Arabidopsis thaliana: one gene and its partners. The main gene of each other region encodes a partner of the protein of the gene in region 3 in a complex. Each region holds a gene or a part of one and is shown on either strand. Other genes may lie near its edges.

The links.
Region 1: TAF5 (region 3) and TAFII15 share a complex: the UniProt entries of both Arabidopsis thaliana proteins name them as parts of the TFIID complex.
Region 2: TAF5 (region 3) and TAF6B share a complex: the UniProt entries of both Arabidopsis thaliana proteins name them as parts of the TFIID complex.
Region 4: TAF5 (region 3) and HAF01 share a complex: the UniProt entries of both Arabidopsis thaliana proteins name them as parts of the TFIID complex.

The regions. Positions count from the first base shown.
Region 1 is NC_003075.7:15,353,278-15,358,429, reverse strand, and holds TAFII15 (TBP-associated factor II 15), read left to right. Parts: upstream 1-1,998; 5' UTR 1,999-2,239; intron 2,240-2,259; exon of another isoform or gene 2,260-2,626; intron 2,627-2,689; exon of another isoform or gene 2,690-2,706; 5' UTR 2,707-2,725; coding exon 2,726-2,818; intron 2,819-2,914; coding exon 2,915-2,979; intron 2,980-3,380; coding exon 3,381-3,443; intron 3,444-3,628; coding exon 3,629-3,680; intron 3,681-3,774; coding exon 3,775-3,825; intron 3,826-4,126; coding exon 4,127-4,207; 3' UTR 4,208-4,383; coding exon of another isoform or gene 4,384-4,459; 3' UTR 4,460-4,510; coding exon of another isoform or gene 4,511-4,591; 3' UTR 4,592-4,634; downstream 4,635-5,152. Other genes in the region: AT4G31715 (uncharacterized protein), read right to left, coding at 4,384-4,459, 4,511-4,591, 4,728-4,771. UniProt on the Arabidopsis thaliana protein: TAFs are components of the transcription factor IID (TFIID) complex that is essential for mediating regulation of RNA polymerase transcription.
Region 2 is NC_003070.9:20,288,983-20,293,689, forward strand, and holds TAF6B (TBP-ASSOCIATED FACTOR 6B), read left to right. Parts: upstream 1-1,617; coding exon 1,618-1,737; coding exon of another isoform or gene 1,738-1,806; coding exon 1,807-2,054; intron 2,055-2,141; coding exon 2,142-2,248; intron 2,249-2,319; coding exon 2,320-2,396; intron 2,397-2,475; coding exon 2,476-2,613; intron 2,614-2,705; coding exon 2,706-2,801; intron 2,802-2,897; coding exon 2,898-3,022; intron 3,023-3,105; coding exon 3,106-3,238; intron 3,239-3,448; coding exon 3,449-3,574; intron 3,575-3,678; coding exon 3,679-3,790; intron 3,791-3,879; coding exon 3,880-4,178; downstream 4,179-4,707. Other genes in the region: ABCD2 (ABC transporter family protein), read left to right, coding at 1-238, 316-592, 715-965, 1,054-1,263; NHX5 (sodium hydrogen exchanger 5), read right to left, coding at 4,371-4,458, 4,547-4,668. UniProt on the Arabidopsis thaliana protein: TAFs are components of the transcription factor IID (TFIID) complex that is essential for mediating regulation of RNA polymerase transcription. Not redundant with TAF6.
Region 3 is NC_003076.8:8,675,331-8,682,856, forward strand, and holds TAF5 (TBP-associated factor 5), read left to right. Parts: upstream 1-1,718; 5' UTR 1,719-1,786; coding exon 1,787-1,962; intron 1,963-2,275; coding exon 2,276-2,357; intron 2,358-2,442; coding exon 2,443-2,521; intron 2,522-2,637; coding exon 2,638-2,735; intron 2,736-2,833; coding exon 2,834-2,890; intron 2,891-3,006; coding exon 3,007-3,094; intron 3,095-3,187; coding exon 3,188-3,297; intron 3,298-3,424; coding exon 3,425-3,532; intron 3,533-3,610; coding exon 3,611-3,762; intron 3,763-3,944; coding exon 3,945-4,055; intron 4,056-4,129; coding exon 4,130-4,199; intron 4,200-4,288; coding exon 4,289-4,325; intron 4,326-4,473; coding exon 4,474-4,629; intron 4,630-4,718; coding exon 4,719-4,795; intron 4,796-4,891; coding exon 4,892-5,008; intron 5,009-5,425; coding exon 5,426-5,691; intron 5,692-6,155; coding exon 6,156-6,251; intron 6,252-6,339; coding exon 6,340-6,412; coding exon of another isoform or gene 6,413-6,457; exon of another isoform or gene 6,458-6,671; coding exon 6,672-6,728; and 2 more. UniProt on the Arabidopsis thaliana protein: TAFs are components of the transcription factor IID (TFIID) complex that is essential for mediating regulation of RNA polymerase transcription.
Region 4 is NC_003070.9:11,853,749-11,858,500, forward strand, and holds the start of HAF01 (HAC13 protein (HAC13)), read right to left. Parts: upstream 3,018-4,752; 5' UTR 2,816-3,017; intron 2,604-2,815; 5' UTR 2,514-2,603; coding exon 2,468-2,513; intron 1,762-2,467; coding exon 1,658-1,761; intron 1,483-1,657; coding exon 1,420-1,482; intron 1,286-1,419; coding exon 1,240-1,285; intron 866-1,239; coding exon 611-865; intron 389-610; coding exon 297-388; intron 198-296; coding exon 26-197; intron 1-25. Other genes in the region: AT1G32760 (Glutaredoxin family protein), read left to right, coding at 4,503-4,752. UniProt on the Arabidopsis thaliana protein: TAFs are components of the transcription factor IID (TFIID) complex that is essential for mediating regulation of RNA polymerase transcription. Core scaffold of the TFIID complex.

The DNA of each region.
Region 1 (5,152 bases), on a different chromosome or scaffold from region 3:
TAGTTAATTGAAGATTAGCGACAAAAATATGATATTAAATTGGATGGGAGAAAACATATATTTAATTAAGCAAACGAACATATTCGCAACTTGAGTTTTTGGGGGGTGTTTGGTGACGTACAAACTTCTCTTCTTCTAGATAAGGAACTATGCACTACAAATTTTCTTAATTATGCACCACAAATTTTCTAAAGTACGATTAAAAAAGAGGAAATCTAAAGCCAAAGTAGTAATCAACCCTACAACAACACATGAGTCACGACTTTCAGTTAACTACAATTATACAAATATTACTTGATTAAGTGGTGTTATCTTAACTAGTGTAATGTATGTTTGAAATTAATAAAGTCCATCTACAAACCATTTTATCAAAACAAAAAATCCATCAAGCAAATTGAAGCCACTCTTATAGCCGACTAACCGTACCTACAAATTTTCTGTTTCAAACTTATGCATATCTATATGGGTGCTTATGATACTTCCTATTAAATTTAATAAAATTAGTAAAAATTTCCCTACCATATATCATATTATTATTTTTTCGATCCAAGAAAGTTACTTTTTAAAATAGTTTTCTATTTTGTGACACTTCTAAAATATTATAAGTGTATAGCCATTTTTCCCCAAACAAGGAATAGTCTATCAGTCTATACAGTATACACACGATTTATTTGCAAAGAACCTACATACACAATTTCTCTTCTACCATGTTAGATTTTTAGTACTTGTTTTACTAGATTATGTATTTTTGTTTGTCTATCGGTCTTTTAATTTTCACTTGCTGGAGGTAAATAATGAAGGAAGTAGTTAAAAATTGAGATAACATAGTTGTGTAGAAATTAGAATACAGTGCAGAACTTAAAAGTATGGTTACGATCACATTGACAACAGTCGATATTCCATTGAGATCACATGAACATTGCTTCGTTAGAAATGCTCGTCGATCGCCTGAAGTAAACCGATTTGATTGGCCACCATGTTTTGCCTCTTCCTGATTTCATTGATATATTTTATTTTTCTTTACTATTTTAAACAACAAAAAAATTTAGAATCCGTATTCCAAAAGTAAATTAAATTTTTGCATACAATTTTTCTTTTTCTTTAAAATATCTAGGTTTTAATATAATATTCCATAATTTGATGAAAAGAATTAAAGAGAAAGTTCAAATCAATCCATATAGCTTGTCCTAGCCTATAGCCAAAAATATTCCTATGCCGCGATTGAACAACCGTTTTTTAAAAATCGTCAAATTAAATCAAACCTTTTTCCATGACAATGAGACTTGGATATAGTTTACATTAGATTCTGATTGGCCCCTTTGATATAACTAGGTAAACTAGCTTCTTGAATAAACTGTCTCTTATTTTGGTTTTATACAAAAAAAAAAAAGCTTTTGGAAAATGATTTAAATGTAAATACATAATACGTAGCGTCTAAGAAGCATATTTGAGAAAATATGGATTTATTTATCTGGTATTTATCCATTAATTTACCTACAAATGGAATCCACCATTAACCAAAAACAAACAAACAAATGGAATCCCGTGAAATAAAGTATCATCATATACATATCTCTCTTTTATGTTTTTATGGAGAGAATTAGTCCAATCCTTCTTCACTGAATTTACCACCTGCTTCTCGTAGAATATATAAAACTACCCTTAAGTCTTTTTCTAATGACTATGAGTTGACAAATGAGAAAAACAAAAACTGCTTTTGTTGGTCATTAAATATTCCGTCTAGATGGAGTTAGTGCTTTCATTGTCATATTCTTTGTCTCCCATCAAATTAAAGCTCACTATACAGCAGATTGTACAACACTATACACTAAAGTTACATTTTTGAGATTTTATTGATTGACAATTTCGTTTCGATATTCTTAGATACACTAAACTCAAATATTGATTTTATGGGAAGAGAATAAAAAATGGATTGTGAAAAAGGAAAAAAAAAAACCTAAATTTGGGCCATATGTGAAGAATACTTCCTTAAGTTTGGGCCATAGTTTAAATCAATAGGCCCATTAGTCTATCTAACGATTCTTTCTCAACTCTTAAAAATCTGACCGGCGGAGATGGCTCTGAGTTGGACCAGTCGGAGGATTAGGGTTTCAACGGAGACTCACTAGTCGATCTCCGATCCTTTCTTCTACCCGCCCGAAATCCGTCGAAACTTCTCTTCTTTACCATTGATTTGCCTCGTCTCAGCTCAATTCTCTTCCGTTGCTGCTTCGTTTAGGTTCGCATTATCGCTTACTTTATTGAATTTTTCCTCTATGTCTCTGGTTTCAATTTCAGCTCAATTTTGTCTTTTTTTCGGTTGAATTTTCTCTTGGGTGGTATCGAATTTTGCTCATGAATGCTGTTTCTTGATGAATCAGAGCCCTCTTAGTTTACTTCACGTCGTTCAATTCAAAACTTGGTGTGGTCTTTTGCAACACAAATCAGGAATAGTTCGTTACTTAGAAACAATAATGTCATACGAGAAGACAAATCTGGAACAGAGAATTAGTAAATTGAGCTGGAAAGTTTCAGTAGTCAAAATTCTCGTAAAACTTATTTTGGTATAATTGTGTCATGAGTCATGACATTCTTTCTTAGGTTTCGTACAAGTTTCTAATTTGAGGTAGATACTAGTTCAGAGGTTCTTTATTAATGTTTGATTTTGAAAACCTTTCTTTACTTACAGTTGTTGCTTCGCTTCAGTACTCTGGTGGTGGGAGAGATGAATCACGGCCAACAATCTGGTGAGGCAAAGCATGAAGATGATGCTGCTCTTACAGAGTTCCTTGCTTCTCTGATGGATTATACTCCTACTGTATACTTTCCTTTGTACTAGTTACAACTTTTTCTCGGCTCTACATGACTGAAATTTGGGTATTGATTGAGTTCTGGATTTTTATTTTTCTTTCAGATTCCTGATGATTTAGTGGAGCACTACTTGGCTAAGAGTGGATTTCAGTGCCCCGACGTACGATTGTAGGTATTTCCGACAAGTTATATCTGATACTTACAATGAAAGAGCAGATAAGTTGATATTGAATGGAATCATTGTTGGGTCTTAGAATGGGTGACCAGTAGTTAGATCAATGGCTTGGTTTAAATCATTTTGGATTAAGGTTTTGCCCTGTTTAACATTCCTGTAAAATGGTATGATAAAGAAGTCTATGTTGGACTAGCACTGAAAAAGATTGGCAATTTGAATGTAAACTTCAGAGTTCAGTTTGAATGCGTAGAATAATGAGGGGATTCTTCTCTTTCTATCAAATTGAGTGCTGAATATTGGTATATTTTAGTTTTTGAGTTTTTCACTCCTGTCATAATCTTTTCCTGTATCTATTCTTGCCAATATTCTGTTTTTTTGTTTACTTGTTTGACAGGATAAGGCTAGTTGCTGTGGCTACACAAAAGTTTGTTGCAGATGTTGCCAGTGACGCCCTTCAGTAAGTTTTCATTCTCTTCACAACGAATTATCATACCCTTTTTCATATTTGACTTGTAATTGAGAAAGAGAAGACACTGCCCATTCTGAGTAGATGAGATGAAAAGATGTCTACGCTAGATTTTCCCAGAAGCTAAAAGCATTGATATAAGCTCCTGAATAATAAAAATTGTCAATTATATACAGGCATTGCAAGGCTAGACCAGCACCAGTTGTGAAAGACAAAAAACAGCAAAAGGTAACATCTGACTCCCTTTTGTTTTTTTTCCCTCTGCAAGACTGCAACAAATATGTTTTGGATGATGACATGAATATTAATGTTTCCTTAACAGGATAAGCGTTTGGTATTGACAATGGAAGATCTTTCAAAAGCTTTGCGTGAGGTAAATGCTTCTTCCTCTAAGTTCATGCTTCTGGTATTGTTGTCCCTCAGACCTCCAATGTATGAGAAGAAAATGTAGATGTCTCTTGTTTTTTTTTACTTAAGCTGCAAATTACTCTAAATACACATGGCATGAAACTAATTCAGTATCACAGAATCAACATAAAATGCTTAGAAACATGTTTTAGAGTTAGTGGTTATAATATTGTGTATTGCAGTAGTGTAGGTAGATAGGTAAGGTTTTACAGTCTCGTCTTAACTAGTAGTGGGAAGCTAACTCGTGAGTAAACTCGGTTTGGCAGTATGGTGTGAACGTGAAGCATCCAGAATATTTTGCTGATAGCCCTTCGACTGGAATGGACCCTGCAACAAGGGACGAATAGAAACCAGGAATTCCTCAAAATCTTTGCCTAGTAAGGACGGTCATGTGTCTCAGATCCCTGATTCTCTGTTGTGTTTCAGTTAAAAACAAAACTCACTTGTCTTGCTAGTCCTCAATTACTACATTACATGTATATTCGTTTGTTGTTTGTTCTCTGGTGATTTTTGGGGTTCTACATCACTTATCCACCATTCTTGCAAGTCTCCAAGTCGTGAAAATAAGATAAGTATCCATCCTTGTGATTAACTGGATACTGTAGGATTGAAAAACCACAAAGTATATTTTCCATCTAGCAATGATGAACCTAAGTGCTTCTGATCTAACTTGAAACATTGCCACACTCTGTTGTATACCTTTAGACAATCCCCCTTTGTAACCGCGGCATCTCAATAATAAAGTTACTTTTTGGAATTTAGCAATTGAAAAAAGCTGTTCTGTTTTGTTTTTTCACTTTCTCATGTCCGAATATTCTTTACCTAGAAATACATGAAAGAAGACAACAATCTGAAAAATCTAGTAACCTTTCGTCAGCTTTTACAACGCTACATTGAAGACAAGAACACATTGGTTTTTTCATCACAAAGAAAGTTGAAGATTCTTGAGTTTTTTTCCTCCTGAATTGTTTGAAATGGTGAATCCTCCACTTCAGTCTCCGACCAATCCGCATTTCTTCCAGCCACTACTTCCCGGTTTCGAGTGTCACCTCGTACACACTCTCTCTGTCTCTCTCTGTTTCTGTCTTTCTTTCAGAGTCGGTTTTGTTTTAAATGTTTTGAGGCTGAAAAGTTAAGGTAAGTTTCAAGTTTTTTATATGACATAGGTACTTGTGGTTTCTGAGCACATTCTCCTTATATGTATACAGGACCATAAACGTTGTCTGGAATGATTCTATATGCCGACTTTTTGTCTGTAATATGTAAAGTCTCTGTCCAATTTCTTCTCGCAT
Region 2 (4,707 bases), on a different chromosome or scaffold from region 3:
ATTTGATGATCTTTTGGATAACAACATCTTCAGAGATCCATCTGACACTGTGGACGAGATTGAGCTGACATATCAGAGTGAGATGAACTCTTCACTGCTGGACACCAATGGTTCAATCAAGTCCCAACCGAACCAAAAGCGTCTGGAGATCGAGGAGCTTACTCTTCAGACACCAACAAACGGAACCACATTGGTTCACAACTTATCTGCAGATGTATATGACAAGGATCACCTACTGGTTAGTTCACTTTGACTACTTGTGTTTAAAGCATGTGACTGGTAGATTGGAAGTTACTTAAAAATGCCATTTAACAGATAATGGGTCCTAGTGGGAGTGGAAAAACTTCGCTGCTAAGAGCAATGGCTGGTCTTTGGAGGTCAGGGAAAGGAAAAATCACGTTCTACCTCGATCCTGAGGTAGATTTTACACAGGAGAAATCTGATACTCAGGAAAATTCAGGGAAAAGAGGAGACGTATTGTTCCTTCCACAAAGGCCTTATATGGTTCTGGGATCTTTGCGTCAGCAATTGCTTTATCCTACCTGGAGTGCAACTGTGGAGGAGACGACACCTGGTGGCAGTAATATTGACGGTACTCAGTTTAAATTTGTGTCTAGTAACAACCATTTCTTTCAACTCCATTTAAGTTTATGCAAGCAGATTATAGAACCCAAAAGCAAATCGACTGAAGAAAAAATGCGTTGATTTTGTTAGGTTCACCACCTCTGCTGATTAGAGAGGACGGAAATGAAAAGCCGACAACAGATGATCTGATGCGGACTCTAGAGAAGGTTTGTCTTGGACATATAGCGGATCGCTTTGGTGGTCTTGATTCGATACACGAGTGGTCCAGTGTTCTCTCACTTGGTGAGCAGCAGCGCCTTGCCTTTGCACGGTTATTGCTGTCTCAGCCAAAGCTGGCGCTCCTGGATGAATCCACCAGTGCGTTGGATGAAGCTAATGAGGTACTTGTTGGTTCTCCTCTCATCTATCATTTAGAATAATATCATGTACATGTAGCGTTGAGCCATTAAAATTCCTCTTGATGCCCAGGCGTTCCTGTACCAGCAAATCCAGTCGGCTGGCATTACATATATAAGCATTGGCCACCGCCGGACTTTAACGAAATTCCATAACAAGATCTTACAAATCTCAACGGCAGACCCGAAGAGCAATGAACGTAACTGGCGAATAGAGGACGTGGATGCCCAAGATTCTTTGTACGGTAGATTGAATCAAAAGGAGGTGCCAAGTGAAAGCTGATCAAAACCTGATTGATTACATAAGAGACAGAAGCAGCAGGTAAATCTGCAAACGGGTGTCATGAAACATATAAGAAACATGTTTGGTGTCCATTTTGTATATAATCTACCAGACTTGACGTTGACTGAAGATGCAAGTAAATAGAGAGATTGATACAGATACGAGTGCAACGAAGTTCTGATTAAAAATAACACGCGAGATGAGCTAAAAATTCAAAACCGGCTGAGTATTTATCATAAGCCCAATAAATCTAACGATGGGCCCATTTGAGAAAGCCTGATAGAGTGAGAAAATGTAACACGACTGACTCGACTCAGTCGCTCAAAGTCGAAAAAGAAAGAAGGCGCAAGGAGGATGGTGACGAAAGAATCCATTGAAGTGATAGCTCAGAGCATTGGACTCTCCACTCTTTCTCCGGACGTCTCAGCCGCTCTTGCTCCCGATGTCGAGTATCGCGTCCGAGAGGTCATGCAGGTATATCATCAACTTCAACTTTACTTTTGCCCTCTAATCTCCTCTTTAACTTGTCGTCGCAATCTCCAGGAAGCTATCAAATGCATGCGTCATGCTCGACGCACCACTTTAATGGCTCATGATGTCGATTCTGCTCTTCATTTCAGGAATTTGGAGGTTTCCTCTTCCTCTCTTCTTCTTTTATTTCATACCGTTGACCCTGATTTTGACTTTTTTTTGTATAGCCTACCTCTGGCTCCAAAAGTATGCGGTTCAAGAGAGCTCCTGAGAACAGAGATCTATACTTCTTCGATGACAAAGATGTCGAGCTCAAGAATGTAAGCTTCATTGATTGGCCATGAATGAAGAAGATGGTGAAATGTTGTTTATTGTTATTAAGCTTCCCTTCATGGTCTCTTGTGCAGGTTATCGAAGCTCCTCTACCAAATGCACCTCCTGATGCATCTGTTTTCTCATTGGTTGGCAATTGATGGTATTCAACCTTCCATTCCACAGAATTCTCCTCTCCAAGGTATTTCTTTTGTCTTCTTTTGCATCACCTACTACTTCTCCTTCTAATCCCTCTTCCATGACAATTTGTAGCCATATCTGACCTTAAACGATCGGAATATAAGGACGATGGCTTGGCTGCTAGACAGGTGCTTTCTAAGGACCTTCAGGTTATTTTACTCCCTTCTTTTTTTGGGTCTTTACCTCGCTCTTTGAATGCTATATAATCCTTGCTTGCTCTCGATGCAGATTTACTTTGACAAAGTCACGGAGTGGGCTTTGACTCAATCTGGCTCCACCCTCTTTAGACAAGCACTCGCCAGCTTGGAAATTGATCCTGGACTCCACCCATTAGTTCCCTTTTTCACTTCTTTCATCGCTGAAGAGGTTTGTCTTTGTAATCCAACACTTCTAGTCTTGACTTTTATTCTAACTTGACCACATTTTCACTACTTTTTTTGTGCTTGCAATTTCTCCAGATTGTCAAAAACATGGATAATTATCCAATCTTGTTGGCTTTGATGCGTCTTGCTAGAAGCCTCCTTCATAACCCTCATGTACATATTGAGCCATATGTAAGTTTTGTGCGCACACTTTTTTTTTGTTTTTTTTTGTTTCTCTTCTCCCTTCTCCTCCTTCTGTTGACTTTTAACTTGTTGTATTCTGTTCAGCTGCATCAGTTGATGCCGTCTATTATCACTTGCCTTATTGCCAAGCGCTTAGGAAGAAGGTCATCTGATAATCACTGGGACTTGAGAAACTTCACTGCCAGCACAGTTGCTTCAACGTGCAAAAGGTTAATGTTACATTCTTGCTTTGTGATTTCATGCATCTTATACAACCATATAACTTGCAATCACATTAGTGAACTTTTTACAGGTTTGGACACGTTTATCACAATTTGTTGCCACGTGTCACAAGATCACTGCTTCATACCTTTTTGGACCCAACCAAGGCACTCCCACAACACTATGGGGCAATTCAAGGGATGGTAGCCCTTGGGCTTAATATGGTACTTCCTCTTGATGCTTCTTGATTATCATAACGAAGAGTAGCACTTTAGGTTGTGCGTCTAGAATTTTTACATAAGAAAGCATAAGTTTAAAACTAATAGTAGCATGATCCGACATCCTCGATAAAGTTATTAAACCTGCAATTGAACCTTAAGATATATATCCTTTGGTCGTCCGTAAGTATTTTCTTGCTTTATACCTTTGTCTAGGTTCGCTTTCTTGTTCTCCCAAACCTAGGGCCGTATTTGCTGCTTCTTTTACCTGAAATGGGACTTGAGAAGCAGAAGGAAGAAGCTAAGAGGCATGGGGCTTGGCTTGTTTATGGAGCGTTGATGGTGAGTATGCTTTCTAGTTTGATACAGAAATTAGAAAACTTGTTTGCTTTCAATCTCGTGTTGCAAAACAGGCAGGAGAGCATATAAACTTTAACTTTCCATAGGTGGCAGCTGGTCGATGCCTATATGAACGGCTTAAAACATCTGAGACACTGCTGTCTCCTCCAACTAGCTCTGTCTGGAAGACAAATGGAAAGCTCACCAGCCCCAGGCAAAGTATAAAATCTGGTCTCATTCTTTTTTTTTCTTTTGGCGTTCTAAACACGGAGATACGCGTTCTTAAATAATTTTTTTCTTCGGCCAAGGTAAACGCAAAGCAAGCAGTGACAACTTAACTCATCAACCACCACTGAAGAAGATAGCAGTAGGGGGAATTATACAAATGAGCTCCACACAAATGCAGATGCGCGGAACCACAACAGTCCCTCAACAGTCCCACACAGATGCAGATGCACGGCACCACAATAGTCCCTCAACAATTGCTCCGAAGACTTCAGCTGCTGCAGGCACTGACGTCGACAACTATCTCTTTCCTCTTTTTGAGTATTTTGGTGAGAGCATGCTTATGTTCACCCCCACACATGAGCTCAGTTTCTTCTTGTAATAGATTATTGACATGGTAATTGTATGTACCACAATAAATACATCTATATAATATTTCGAAATGTCTTGGAAATCGTCAACTTTATAGTGGGCATTTTGCGAGAGGTAAAATCAACCAGTGTTAATCTTACATAGACATATGTGTACTCTAATTATAGCTTGGCCTGGACCACAAATACACATCTTTTCCATGCTACTCCCCATCTCCATCTCCATCTCCACTATTAGTTGTGAAGAACGGAGTCAGAAAGTTTTTGTCCAACGCGGTGAATGATGTAGTGCTGCAAAGTTTTGTCAAGTGAGTCCCAAAAAATTGCAAATATCGCTTTTTACTCAGGAAAACATACTAAGCCATTCTCTTATTCTTACGTTTTGTGAAACTCCTTCAGCTTCATCTTGAACCTGCTTCCTGATGATGATGTATCCTCGTCAGATGAAGCTCCAATGCTAAAAGGAGGAGGGACATACTGATGATCGCTCTCTTCAAAGCCCTAACCACGTATCTGGGAGCGTTAGAAAAAGTACATACA
Region 3 (7,526 bases):
TACTACCCTTTTGCAACAATACCCTTTCATGTTGTCCATTTTTAAAAATATCTCTCCCCTTGAACAAAATGACCAAATTACCCTCATCTAATAAAAACATGTAATTGGAAACTGAAATTTTCCCGCCAATTTTTTGGCGCCAAAATATTTTTTTTCCCGCCAAAAAAAAGTTTCCGCCAAACTTTTTTCCAACCAAAAAAAAAAATTCCCGCCAACAAAAAAATTTCCCGCCAAATTTTTTTTTCGTAAAAAATTTTTCCTCAGCCAAAAAAAATATTTTAAAAATCCTTGTAAATATTTTTTAGCGCCAAATAGATTTACAAGGGATTTTAAAAGGATTTTAAAAGATTTACAAGAGATTTTTAAAAAGTTTTAAAAAATTTACAAGAGATTTTAAAAGAGTTTTAAAAGATTTACAAGAGATTTTAAAAGAGTTTTAAAAGATTTACAAGTAATTTTAAAAGGTTTTAAAATCCCTTGTAAATCTTTCAAAACACTTTTAAACCCTTTAAAAATCTTTACAAATCCTATGTAAATATTTTAAAACCCTTTAAAATCCCTTGTAAATATTGTAAAACCCTTTTAAAATCCCTTGTAAATATTTTAAAATCCTTTTAAAACAATTTTAAACCCTTTAAAAATCTTTAAAAGACCTTTGTAAATCTTTTAAATCCCTTTAAAATCTCTTGTAAATCTTTTAAAACCCTTTTAAAAATCCCTTGTAAATCTTTTAAAAACCTTTTAAAATCCCTTGTAAATTACCCTTTTAAAATCCCTTGTAAATCTTATAAAACCCCTTTAAATTGCCTTGTAAATCTTTTAAAACTCTTTTAAAATTCCTTGTAAATCTATTTCCCGCCAAAAAAAAAAATTGACGGGAAAAATATTTTTGAAAACAAAATTTGGCGGGAAATGTTTTTCAAAAATTTTTGGTGGGAATTTTTTTCGAAAAGGTTTGGCGGGAAAATTTTGGCGGGAAATTTATTTTAGAATATTTTAGGCGAAAAAATATTAATATTTCATTTTGTTAACCTAAAACAATTTCCAAATAAGGGTAAAATGGTAATTAAAAATTTAAAGAGAATATAAATAAAAATGGATAAAACAAAAGGGTAGAGTTGAAAAGGGGCATCATGAAAAGGGCATTTGAAAGAATTTTTCTTGATTATTTGATATCCAAAATTTTATAATATATTTTTAGAAAACGAGTTAACCATTGTGGGAGGAAATAACTGACCTTGTCTTATATACAATAAATTGTTGCAAGTGTTTAGTTTAACCATTGTAACATTTGATTTAAGAATTATTGTTTAAATATTTTTAAACTGGGTGTTTTGGAAAGTTATTTTTTTTTTTAAATAAAAGTTAGAAATTTTGAGAAGATAACATTTTTTTGGATAATTTTCAATAATTCTGTAAGAATTAATTACTCAAACAATAAATATTGGTATCTTGTCCCAATCTTTAAGTTGAAATAGAGAATCCAAAGCAAGTAATTTAAAAAGAAAATGGTTATGAGATTTTACATCAAAGTAAGGTCATGGGCTTATAATTCAAAAACTCTTAGTAAATTTTGAATCTGGGCATTTGCCCAACCTGCCACCCCCATAGACGGGCCTGGTTTTAATCATAACTTTGAAATTATTATATTTGGGCCACAATTAGGCCATTGAAACAGGCCCAGTTTTGTAGAGACACGGAATCTAAAAAACTGAAGATGTTTCAGCGACGAGATACAAGTTTCTAGGAGAGGAAATTGAATCGAGAGAGAGAGAGAGAGACAACAATGGATCCAGAGCAAATCAACGAGTTCGTCGTGGGCTACTTGAAGAAGAAAGGATTCAGTAGCGCTGCTAAAGACCTTGAATCTTATCATCACCAGAACAATAATGGTAGCTCCTTCACTTCTGTCGATTATCATAACGATCCTGAGCTCACGAAGCTCATTCGCTCCTTTTCTCAGTAATCTCTCTCCCTATCTCTCTCTCTCGTTTCAATTCTTAATGCGAATTGTGTTTTGAATTTTTGGGAAAGTTTTAGTGTCTTTTGTGAATTTTGAAAACCGTAAGGAAAAATTATGTAAGCTCCAACGTTTTTGAGAATCTAAAAATGAATATAATTCACTTTCTGGGTGAAGTTTATGTGAATATTTCTATCAGTTTATCTGTCAAATTTAAGATTTTGATGACATCTCAGTGGCAAGAAATTAGGTTTTTTTGTATGGCTTATGTAGAGAGAGCTAATGGTAATGAAATGTCTGTTCTTTTGTTTGCAGACAAGAAGATGATCCAACTCGGTACCGTGAAGGTTACAGCAAACTAAGGTCATGGGCGTATAATTCTCTGGATTTATATAAGGTGGGGATTTTTTTTTGTGTATCCCTTGGCTGTTTTGGGTAGAGACAGGCTTAATTGAACTGACGAGATGATTCTAATTTTGTAGCATGAATTGCTTCGAGTGATGTATCCTGTGTTTATTCATTGTTACATGGATCTGGTGGGGAAAGGGCACACTCAAGAAGGTACTTGTCAATATAGCAAATTAGATGTACTGAGTATTTTTTTTACCTTCGGTATAAGATTTTTGGAAACAGTGACTTATGCTACTGTGGGAAATAATACGTCTCTTGTATTCCAGCTAGAGCCTTCTTTAACAGCTTCCGCAAAGATCATGAGATGGTACACTTACGGGATCTTCAGAAGCTTGAAGGCGTGCTTTCTCCATCTCATCTAGAGGTTTATGATAAACCTTATATGGTCATATAATATTGATAATGGATTTTTTTTTTTTTTTTTTTGGTTATTATCTTTCTTATGATCTTGGTTCTTATCAGGAGATGGAGTTTGCTCGTTCTCTTAGAAAAAGCAAGGTTAACATCAAGTTTTGTCAGGTAGACTTGAGTGAAAATTGACTAGTAGCTGTAATAGGCAACTGCTTCGAGGTTTCTGGTCTGATTAACTGAATTCCGTGACTGCAGACCTCTAATATGCTTACTGAATGTTGCAGTATTCATATGAGCTGTTACTTCAGTATCTACATAGTACAGTATCGACTTTAATGCTTGGTATTATTAACGAGCACATCAATTTCCAAGGTAAATGTGTTTCTTTCTCTTATATATGCGATAGCTTGTAGCAGTTTTTTGAGTAGAAAATTGAATCAATTGGTCATGGATAATTTGTTGCAGTCTACTCGGGACAGCCTACTTCCTCATCCGATGACATAGAAGCTGTCACCATTGTCGGGAGTTTTCAGGACACTGCTAATCACATTAATCAAAAAGAAATACAGTGGGGAGTACGTATTTCCCCTAAAGTTTCTTTTCTCTTCTATTTTTCCAGAGTTATAACATGTTGATGCCTCATCCCAGGGATGATAACATATTTGCGTAGTTAATAGCTACATATGCATTTTTCTTTTACAGTTGCTTGAAGATTCACTAGAAGATCGCCTTGAGAAGACAGGAGGTCTGCTGTCTGATTCTGAGAAGGGACAAGGAGAAAGTAAAGACGGGGATGCAGATGATAGTAAGGTGATACATAGCTTCAACTTAGTCAATAATTTCTGAACTGAAATCCCGTTTTTACTCGTCAATTGATTCTGTGTACAGAAAAGATCCACTGAAATTGGAAAGCAAGGCTCTTCCTTAAAAAAGTTGAAGAAGGACAAAGCGGGTAATGCAACAGCAAAAGTTGCACGTCTGGAGACCATTACGGTGTCACCGGCGCCGCGTGTAAAACCAGAACTTGCCTTGCCAGTAATGTACTTTCGAATCCCTTACCCATTTTTTGTGTTGGGATTTGATTAAAAAGGAATGAACATGTGATATCTATGGGTGATGCATGATTGTTTAGGAGAAATGAACATAGTCTTTGTATTTGTCAAAGACTCAACCTCCTTTAACATAAATCAATTTTGCTCCATCTCCTTGTTTTCTCTGTCAGGTCCACAGATGTAGAGCAATCCATCCTTGAAGACCTTAGAAACCGTGTGCAGTTGAGTAGTGTTGCAATGCCATCAGTCAGCTTTTATACATTTGTGAATACTCATAACGGGTAATGTCCACCTCTCCTCCTAATTTTAACTACTTATTTGCAACCTTGTTACTCACTCTTTTATTCTCCCCCAGGTTAAACTGTTCATCTATATCTCATGATGGATCTCTGGTTGCTGGTGGGTTCTCAGATTCTTCAATAAAGGTATGTTATTCTCGGATGGTTGGATACATTTCCCTTTTTTTGTTTTCTTCCTCTCTTAAATGATGCCAAGTGACAATTATGGTGTTCAGGTCTGGGACATGGCTAAGATAGGACAAGCTGGCAGTGGTATGTTAATTCTCTGAAAAATTGTATTGACATCCACGTTTAAGAATGATATTTATCTCATACGTTTCGCTTGTCATTTTTGTTGATTTCTCATAATGATTGTTTTTGTTTCCATGAGAGTTATAGACACTAAGCTGTCTGGTTCCAGGTGCTTTGCAGGCTGAAAATGATTCAAGTGATCAAAGCATAGGACCAAATGGCAGAAGAAGTTATACATTATTACTGGGTCATTCAGGGCCAGTTTACTCAGCCACTTTCAGTCCCCCTGGAGATTTTGTTCTATCTTCTTCAGCAGATACAACAAGTATGTATCTGTCCATCACTTTACAAATCCATACACTGGCTCATTAGTTCAGACTTTTTTAGTTACCAACCCTGTATTCATAAGTGCAGTACGACTGTGGAGCACAAAACTAAATGCTAATCTCGTGTGCTACAAGGGTCATAATTACCCTGTATGGGATGCCCAGGTATAGTTAATTCAATTTAACCCATGTTTCTTACATAACCTGCAATTTATGGTGGCTGGACATGTATATATATTATATACTCATTTTATGGTGCAGTTTAGCCCTTTCGGTCATTACTTTGCAAGCTGTTCTCATGATCGTACTGCACGGATTTGGTCAATGGACCGAATACAACCTCTTCGGATAATGGCAGGGCATCTATCTGATGTTGATGTGAGTGTCTCCCTCATCTTCATTGTTTGGGTTTAATTTGCAAAGGTTAAATCGAAGGGACCAATTGAGTTGTTAATTAAATGCATGGATAAATTTCTTAAAACGTTTTATTATGCAATTGAAGTCATTAATTCACCGTATCAATGTTTACAATGGTTTATCTAACATTTTACATTGTTTATTGACTTAGATTAGTACCCACTTGTTATTTTAACGTGACCCTGACATTCATAATTTAAGAATCGTCCAGTTTATAGTTGATCCAAAGATTGTTAGCCAATACGCTTAAAGTCATAAGGTTACGATGGATTACTTAACTATTTGGATTGACATTAAGTCAGATCAGTAACTTCAATTTTTCTTTGGATACCTATTGATGCGACTTTCGTTGTACTTGTCAAATGCATTTGATTTCAGTGTGTACAGTGGCATCCCAATTGTAACTACATTGCTACCGGTAGTAGTGATAAGACGGTTAGACTCTGGGATGTGCAAACTGGAGAATGTGTCCGGATATTCATTGGGCACAGGAGTATGGTTTTATCATTGGCGATGTCTCCAGATGGGAGATATATGGCTTCCGGTGATGAAGATGGCACTATAATGATGTGGGACCTCTCAACTGCTCGCTGCATCACTCCTCTCATGGGCCATAATTCATGTGTCTGGAGTCTCTCATACAGGTGAGGTGTCAAGAGAAGAAGAAAATAGCTTTATTTGATCATTCAACTTTTATTGAGTTAGTAATACACAATGAAAACGTAATATGATCCTTTTTTCAGCCAACTATTGGTTTTGGTTGATATGCTTTATCATCTCTGGAATTTCTTCTAGGACAACATTTTTTAAAGGGTAGTTCAGGGTTATGATATAGAGTGGTATGGTGTGGCTATTTCTATTAATTCTACAGTGACTTACTACTGAACTGGTAGATTTTTCTATATCCACGCACTCTTGTGTTAGCTCTAACATAGGGTTCTTGTCATGGGTTGTGGAATGTTGTATAGGCCTAATGTGTTGGGTCGTTAATGGAATGACTGGTTTTGGTTGGTAAAATCCACTTGCTTGGAATATTGGAACCGTAAACTCCACTTTGATAAATCATAGAACTACTACAATTTATGACTAACCTGTTTTCCTGTTTCAGCGGGGAGGGCTCTCTTCTGGCTTCTGGATCCGCAGACTGCACAGTGAAACTGTGGGACGTCACTTCAAGTACCAAATTGACAAAGGCCGAGGAAAAGTGAGTTTGCTCTTTCAAGTTGTATTGTTGTTCCCTTTGAATGGTAGATTGTTTTGTTAAAAACGATTTATCATTTGTGATTGATCAGGAATGGAAACTCGAACAGATTGCGCTCACTCAGGACTTTCCCCACCAAGTCCACACCAGTTCACGCTCTCCGGGTAAGTTATGCTTTCTTTACTAGAATTAATTCCACCATTCTCTAAACACCGTGGTATTTCTCTCATCCCTAAGTTTATCATGTTGTGCTTGTGATCAACACATCCCGATAATGAGTGACCAAACACTTGATTAGAACCAAAGTTTCAGGGTGTGTGCCAAACAGATTTTATCCATCAGTATCATATAGAACCTTTCCTCTAACACCTAGGATTCGTTGATCGAGGCATACACTAAAACTCATGTTTTACATTGATGCAGTTTTCTCGGAGAAATTTGTTGTTTGCTGCAGGAGCGATCTCTAAACCCGCAAACTGATCAAAACAATGGTATCAGATATTGATGCTTTAACATTCTTACAAGCTGTTGTAGATCTCAGAAGAAATCAGGTGTAGAATAGTTATCTCCAAAGATTATTTGCTTGTGGCTTTTGTTTCTCATTTCTAAATCCCAAAAATGTTGAAGATTCTTTTAATGAACAACTACTCCTGCTTATGTATGCCATGTGTCCCAATCCAGGAATCACTTATCTTCGACTTGGAGCAGATTTACTTTAAGCATGTCAAAGCCACATTCTTCCTTCTAATAAACACCCTAGTTTAAGCATGTCACCTCTATCATGAATCAAAACCTACTCGAAATGAATAAGGCAAAGAACAACAACCAAATATTCTCAAAATTTATAACGTTAATAAAATAGAAACATGTAATGAATCTCCCCAAAAAGACATCGTGTGTCGAGAGAAATCTTTCTTAAGACAGGGTGGGTGGTTATGTGGTATGTTGTGAATTATGTTTTTTCTTAGAGAACATATTTTTTAGAAACTTTTCAGATACTAACATATTTTTTATTTTGTGAAAACATTTAATTCTCCTAATTTCTAGAGACGGTACTTAAATAAATAGAGAGCTGACGACAAAAATAAAATAAAATTGAGAGCTGAAGAAGAAAAGAAAGAAAAAAACATGTTTTGAAAGACATTTGCATCAAAATTTTGGATGAGACATAAAATCTACCAAAAGTAGATTTGGTTGTGTGACTAGACAATTGTCTACATTTGGAATTATATGTGGGAATGTGGTACTCGTTATCTTCTTATATGAGATCTCTCCCGG
Region 4 (4,752 bases), on a different chromosome or scaffold from region 3:
AGGAAGAACATTCCAGATCACATACCTCTACAAGTGACATATCTATTTTCTCTCCTATCCCGTTTCTGTGGAGGCTCATGGATAGCAAATATCTCGGAGAACTGTAAGATAACCATACCATCTTCCACATACAACGTAGGCAGTGGGGTGGCGCCTTTGTCATCCAATGTACCTTCCAATAACTCATCCACCTCCTCCTGAATGTTTTGATGAGATCACTAACATAACAAAATCATCCCACAGCAAAAATATGTTATTTGAGACACAATTTCCCTTTATTTTGAGGGGAAACTGACCTCCTGGACATCTTCGGTGTCCATATGATCCTCTTTATCCAAGATGCTAGCCTCCTCTTCATACTCCAAGGCCTTGTCTTCCTTTAAGACAACTGCAACGCAATTTTTTTTGTCTTGTTAAGTTTATATTCTCAAGGACTTAAATCACACTAGACTACAGCTTTGCAAGTAATCATTTGCCTGAGCTCAACAAGTATAATTACAGGAAGAATGACTTAACAAAACCAATTTGAGTGATGAGATAACACAACAAAAGTACACTTTACTATGGGATAATTGTTTTGTTCAAGAAACGGAAATTTCGAAATGCAAACCTGGTTCCCTCTTTTCAGTTTCAAGAGATTTTTCAACTGGCGCTTGCTCCTCCTCTTGTTCTTCTTCCTCGTCATAATCTTCATCATCAAACACAGAAGCTCTGGACTTTAAACTACCCAAAGCAACTGCAGTCGAAAAATACTCCTTTTTTGGCAGTAGATGATCTTCCTCACTGACTACTTGAACTTCGGGCCCATCGTACTCTTCATCAATATCCTCATAATCAACAGCATCCTCAGCTTTTCTATCATAATCTACACAACATATCACCACAGTCAATGACGCTGATGACCAGGATTTGGTAGTGTAAATAGTGTCAGTATGTAAATGCTACGGGCAGGAATGTTGCATATTTAAAGATTGTAAACGTGAGTAGTTAAAATGTTTATGCATATAAATTACGCAAGACACTTTCTTAAACAATCCAATAATAATTGGATTATGACTACAACGAAAGTAAGAAGAGTGCAAGACCATTGTGATGGAAACATTCACTGGGAGAAAAACTTTCTAGCAGGTTTCCTAGAAGCTACTCCAGTATGGTTTAAAGAAACGGTAGAATGAAAACTAGAAGTTAAATGAACAATAAAAACTGCATAAGATAGACGACCCTGGCAGACAACATCACCTTGCTCAGCTGGATCACTTGCTGTACGTTCTGATTTTGCCAATAACTGTTGAGTTTAGAAACACCATTATTGGCATCCCAGTACAAGAAAAAGAGGATTAAAAACCACATAAAAGACTCGCAGTTCACTCGTCTATAAACTTTAGAAGATAAAATATTAAAGAGTGTGTAGAACGTTACATTTATATCTGGTAGAGATGAACCCAGCTTATCTGCCAATGCAGAAAGATGTTCTTTGGCGTCCTGAAAAGTTTAAATGTTAGCATTGGCACAGGTATGCTTGGTGGAGAATTTGCAACTCATAGTTAATAAAATACATATATCCTAAGTCCAGAGAGAATAGACAGAAAAACTGAGACCGATAATGAAAATAATGTGTTCAACAAGGTCATCATACTGAAAGCGTAAAACAGATTACCTCATCAAGGTAATCAGCGTCCAAGTCCCCAGAGTTATCAACATTTCCAAAGATGAATCCAAGGTTAAAACCCCTGCTGTTGTCCTCATATTCATCATCGTCATCTGCAGCAGACATGTAAAATATTGGTGTTCACCAAACAAATCTTGGCAGACATGTAAAATATTGGTGTAAAATGGGAATGCATGTGATAACTGATTATCATCACGAGTATTCAGAAATCACAAAGATTGCATGTTAACACTCTTGTTAAACTGCTAAATCCAAGGTCACATAATCATTGGATTCCTCTCCATCATCTTATCAGGCTACAGTAGCCTCCATCTAGTGAAACTACTATTCCCATTCTCTTCGTCATCTAAGATCCTACAAACTCAATTCCCTCTAGAAATTTAGAAAAAATAATCTTAACTATACCCTAGAACATGTCCAGGATCACTCAAGACTGCTCCTTTTCTACTTAAAGAAATCCAAAATATTCAAAACCGTAAATCGGTCATGAGCTAGCCTAAATGCACCAAACACTAGCTAGACAGGGACATCTCTAGTTTCACAAACTGTAGTAATCCAAAATTCCACAACCTAATATTTCCAATCTCTTTGTCAATTAAGATCCTACAAACCAATACTCAGAATCACTCAAGGCTGTTCCTTTTCTACTTAAAGAGACTTAATCCGAAATATTCAAAACCGTAGAACAATCATAAGCTAGACAGGGGCATCTCCAGTTTCAGAAATCATGTCGACAATGGACTGGACCGGAAAAAAGAAAAGCAACAAACTTTGATAAAGAAAGCAACATATATATACCTGAGGAAGTCTCGTTGTGGGAACCCTTGCCATTGGATTCAGCCATATTCAAAGATTTAACTACAATGGTGACAATCGGGAGACGACAAGGCAATTGTCCTTCCCAAATCCCCAACCATTAAAACTCAATCAAAACCTTCAAAAGAAACAAAAAAAACTACACAATTACAAGCCAACCTAAACGGACCTGGAAACAAAAAAAGCTAACTTCTTTATCTGAAACTTCATCAAAAGAGTCTCAATTTGGCTTTAAAATCACAACCAAATCGAAACCCCATTGATCAATTTTCGAGTTAAGCTGAGTTGCAATCAAAGCATTGGATAAAATTGAAGAAGACGATACGATACCATTCACTGATACGAGATTGTTGGATTGGAGGGTTCTTTCTTGAAACCCTAATTGAGGGTACAAGTAAGCTTCGCCGGAAAGGTAAACCAGCTCAATCGGACGAGACGGTACGATGTCGGAGAGAAGTTCCGAGGTAAGCAAACTCTCAAATCGGAGGAAAAAAAAAAGTAATAACAAAAAAAAGAAGAAAATTGCGAAGCGACCAAGACAAGATTGTGAGGGCATTTATAAAAGTTTTATAACCCGACCCGAATAAAGTTTGAGTCCGGGTCTAATTTCTTAACCAGGAAAAATCAATTTCGTTGTTTGGTATGGAGGTGGTTAAGCAGAAATAGAGTCGGTTCTGAAGTAATTTTTGTTGTTGTTTAATCAGTGGTAATTTTACGAATTTAATAGATATATACCTATGATATTTCTTTAAAATATCTTTCTACCAAAATTGCAAAAGAAAATTGAATTTTAAAAGTATTATAAAAACATAACTGTTATAGTTCTACATTTAAATTTTCAATTTTTAATAATATTTTAATCACTTTAATTTTATTTTTTCGATCGACTAACATTCTAATATCCAAATTTAAGGCACACAAGTTTAATTGATAGTTTTATTTTTTTCATCGAATAACATCGGATGTGAAACTCTTTATTGCATACCTTGTACATATATAAAAATCAATAACATGTTGATTTTAATTATATAAAAAAATTTAATATTAAATAAAACCAGATTGAATAAAAATGGATATTAAGAAAATATATAGGTTCTTTTATTTTATGGACCACTGCGTCGGTAACTATGACGAAGTAAAACGGCAGTAGCCGTTAAAAAAAATAAAGTAAAATGATCCATATAGACAGATCGGAGATGTCGCTGAAAAAATAGAAGTGTCGTTGGAAAAAATAGAGATATTGATCTAACAACGTAGGAGTCGTGAAAAATATAGCGGCCTAAATGAACATAATCCAGCTTTTCTTCCATTGTCAGTTTTGAACAACCAGCAACGAATTTTATAATAAATTATGCCATTTATTTCTCATTTCGTTCTTTAATTTTTAGTCATCAAATTTAATCGCAACGACCAATACAAGAAGAACATGGTATAATCATACCAAATCATTGATTCAATATTACCTTATTAGATTTTATAAAATTCATTATCCATTCAACAATTGTACCTCAACATTTTCAAATGTACCTCAACAAGCAATTTTTTCTTTATTTAGTTTAACCTAAACAAGGAATTTATTTTTATTTTTACCATAACCATCATGAACTTTGTTGACTTGTTAAATGTCTCTATCTCCTTCTAACGAAATTATCAAAATCAATTTCTGTTCCTTATACTCCAACCAAATAGTGGTCCTGATTCTAAATCCTAGTTCTAAAATTAAGCCTTGTATTTTCTCTTTTTTATTAACGTAAAATCAAACAAAACAAATATCTCAAATATTTTGTTAAGAAAAAAGAATTCTTTATTCAACGAAAAATATGGATTAAAAAGAACACCAAAGCCACGTGCATTGTCACTTCCCAACTTTAGAAAAATTGTATTTATATAAACAAGTTTTATCTAATTAGCAGTTTTATGTTATTTTGTCTTTAATCTCACTTCACCGTCTCTCTTTCACTCAATCTCCGTGATTCATTTTTTCTCCGACGTTGCTTAATCCTCGAAATCTCCGGCGATGGGTGGTTGCGTCTCCTCCAACCTCCTTACTCCGACCGATGACAGCAGCTTCTCTCACCTCACCAGCTCCTCCTTAAGCCAACATTTCGTCAAGCTAACTTCCACCACTTACGGTCTTCTCAATCTCGACTCTTCTTCACCTTCTCCTCCGTCTCCTTCCTCCTCCTCCTCCGCCAAATCCGTTATCACGCCAATGACTCCGCCTGAGAGATTCACTATCAACGGTAAGGAGGCGGCGATGATGATGG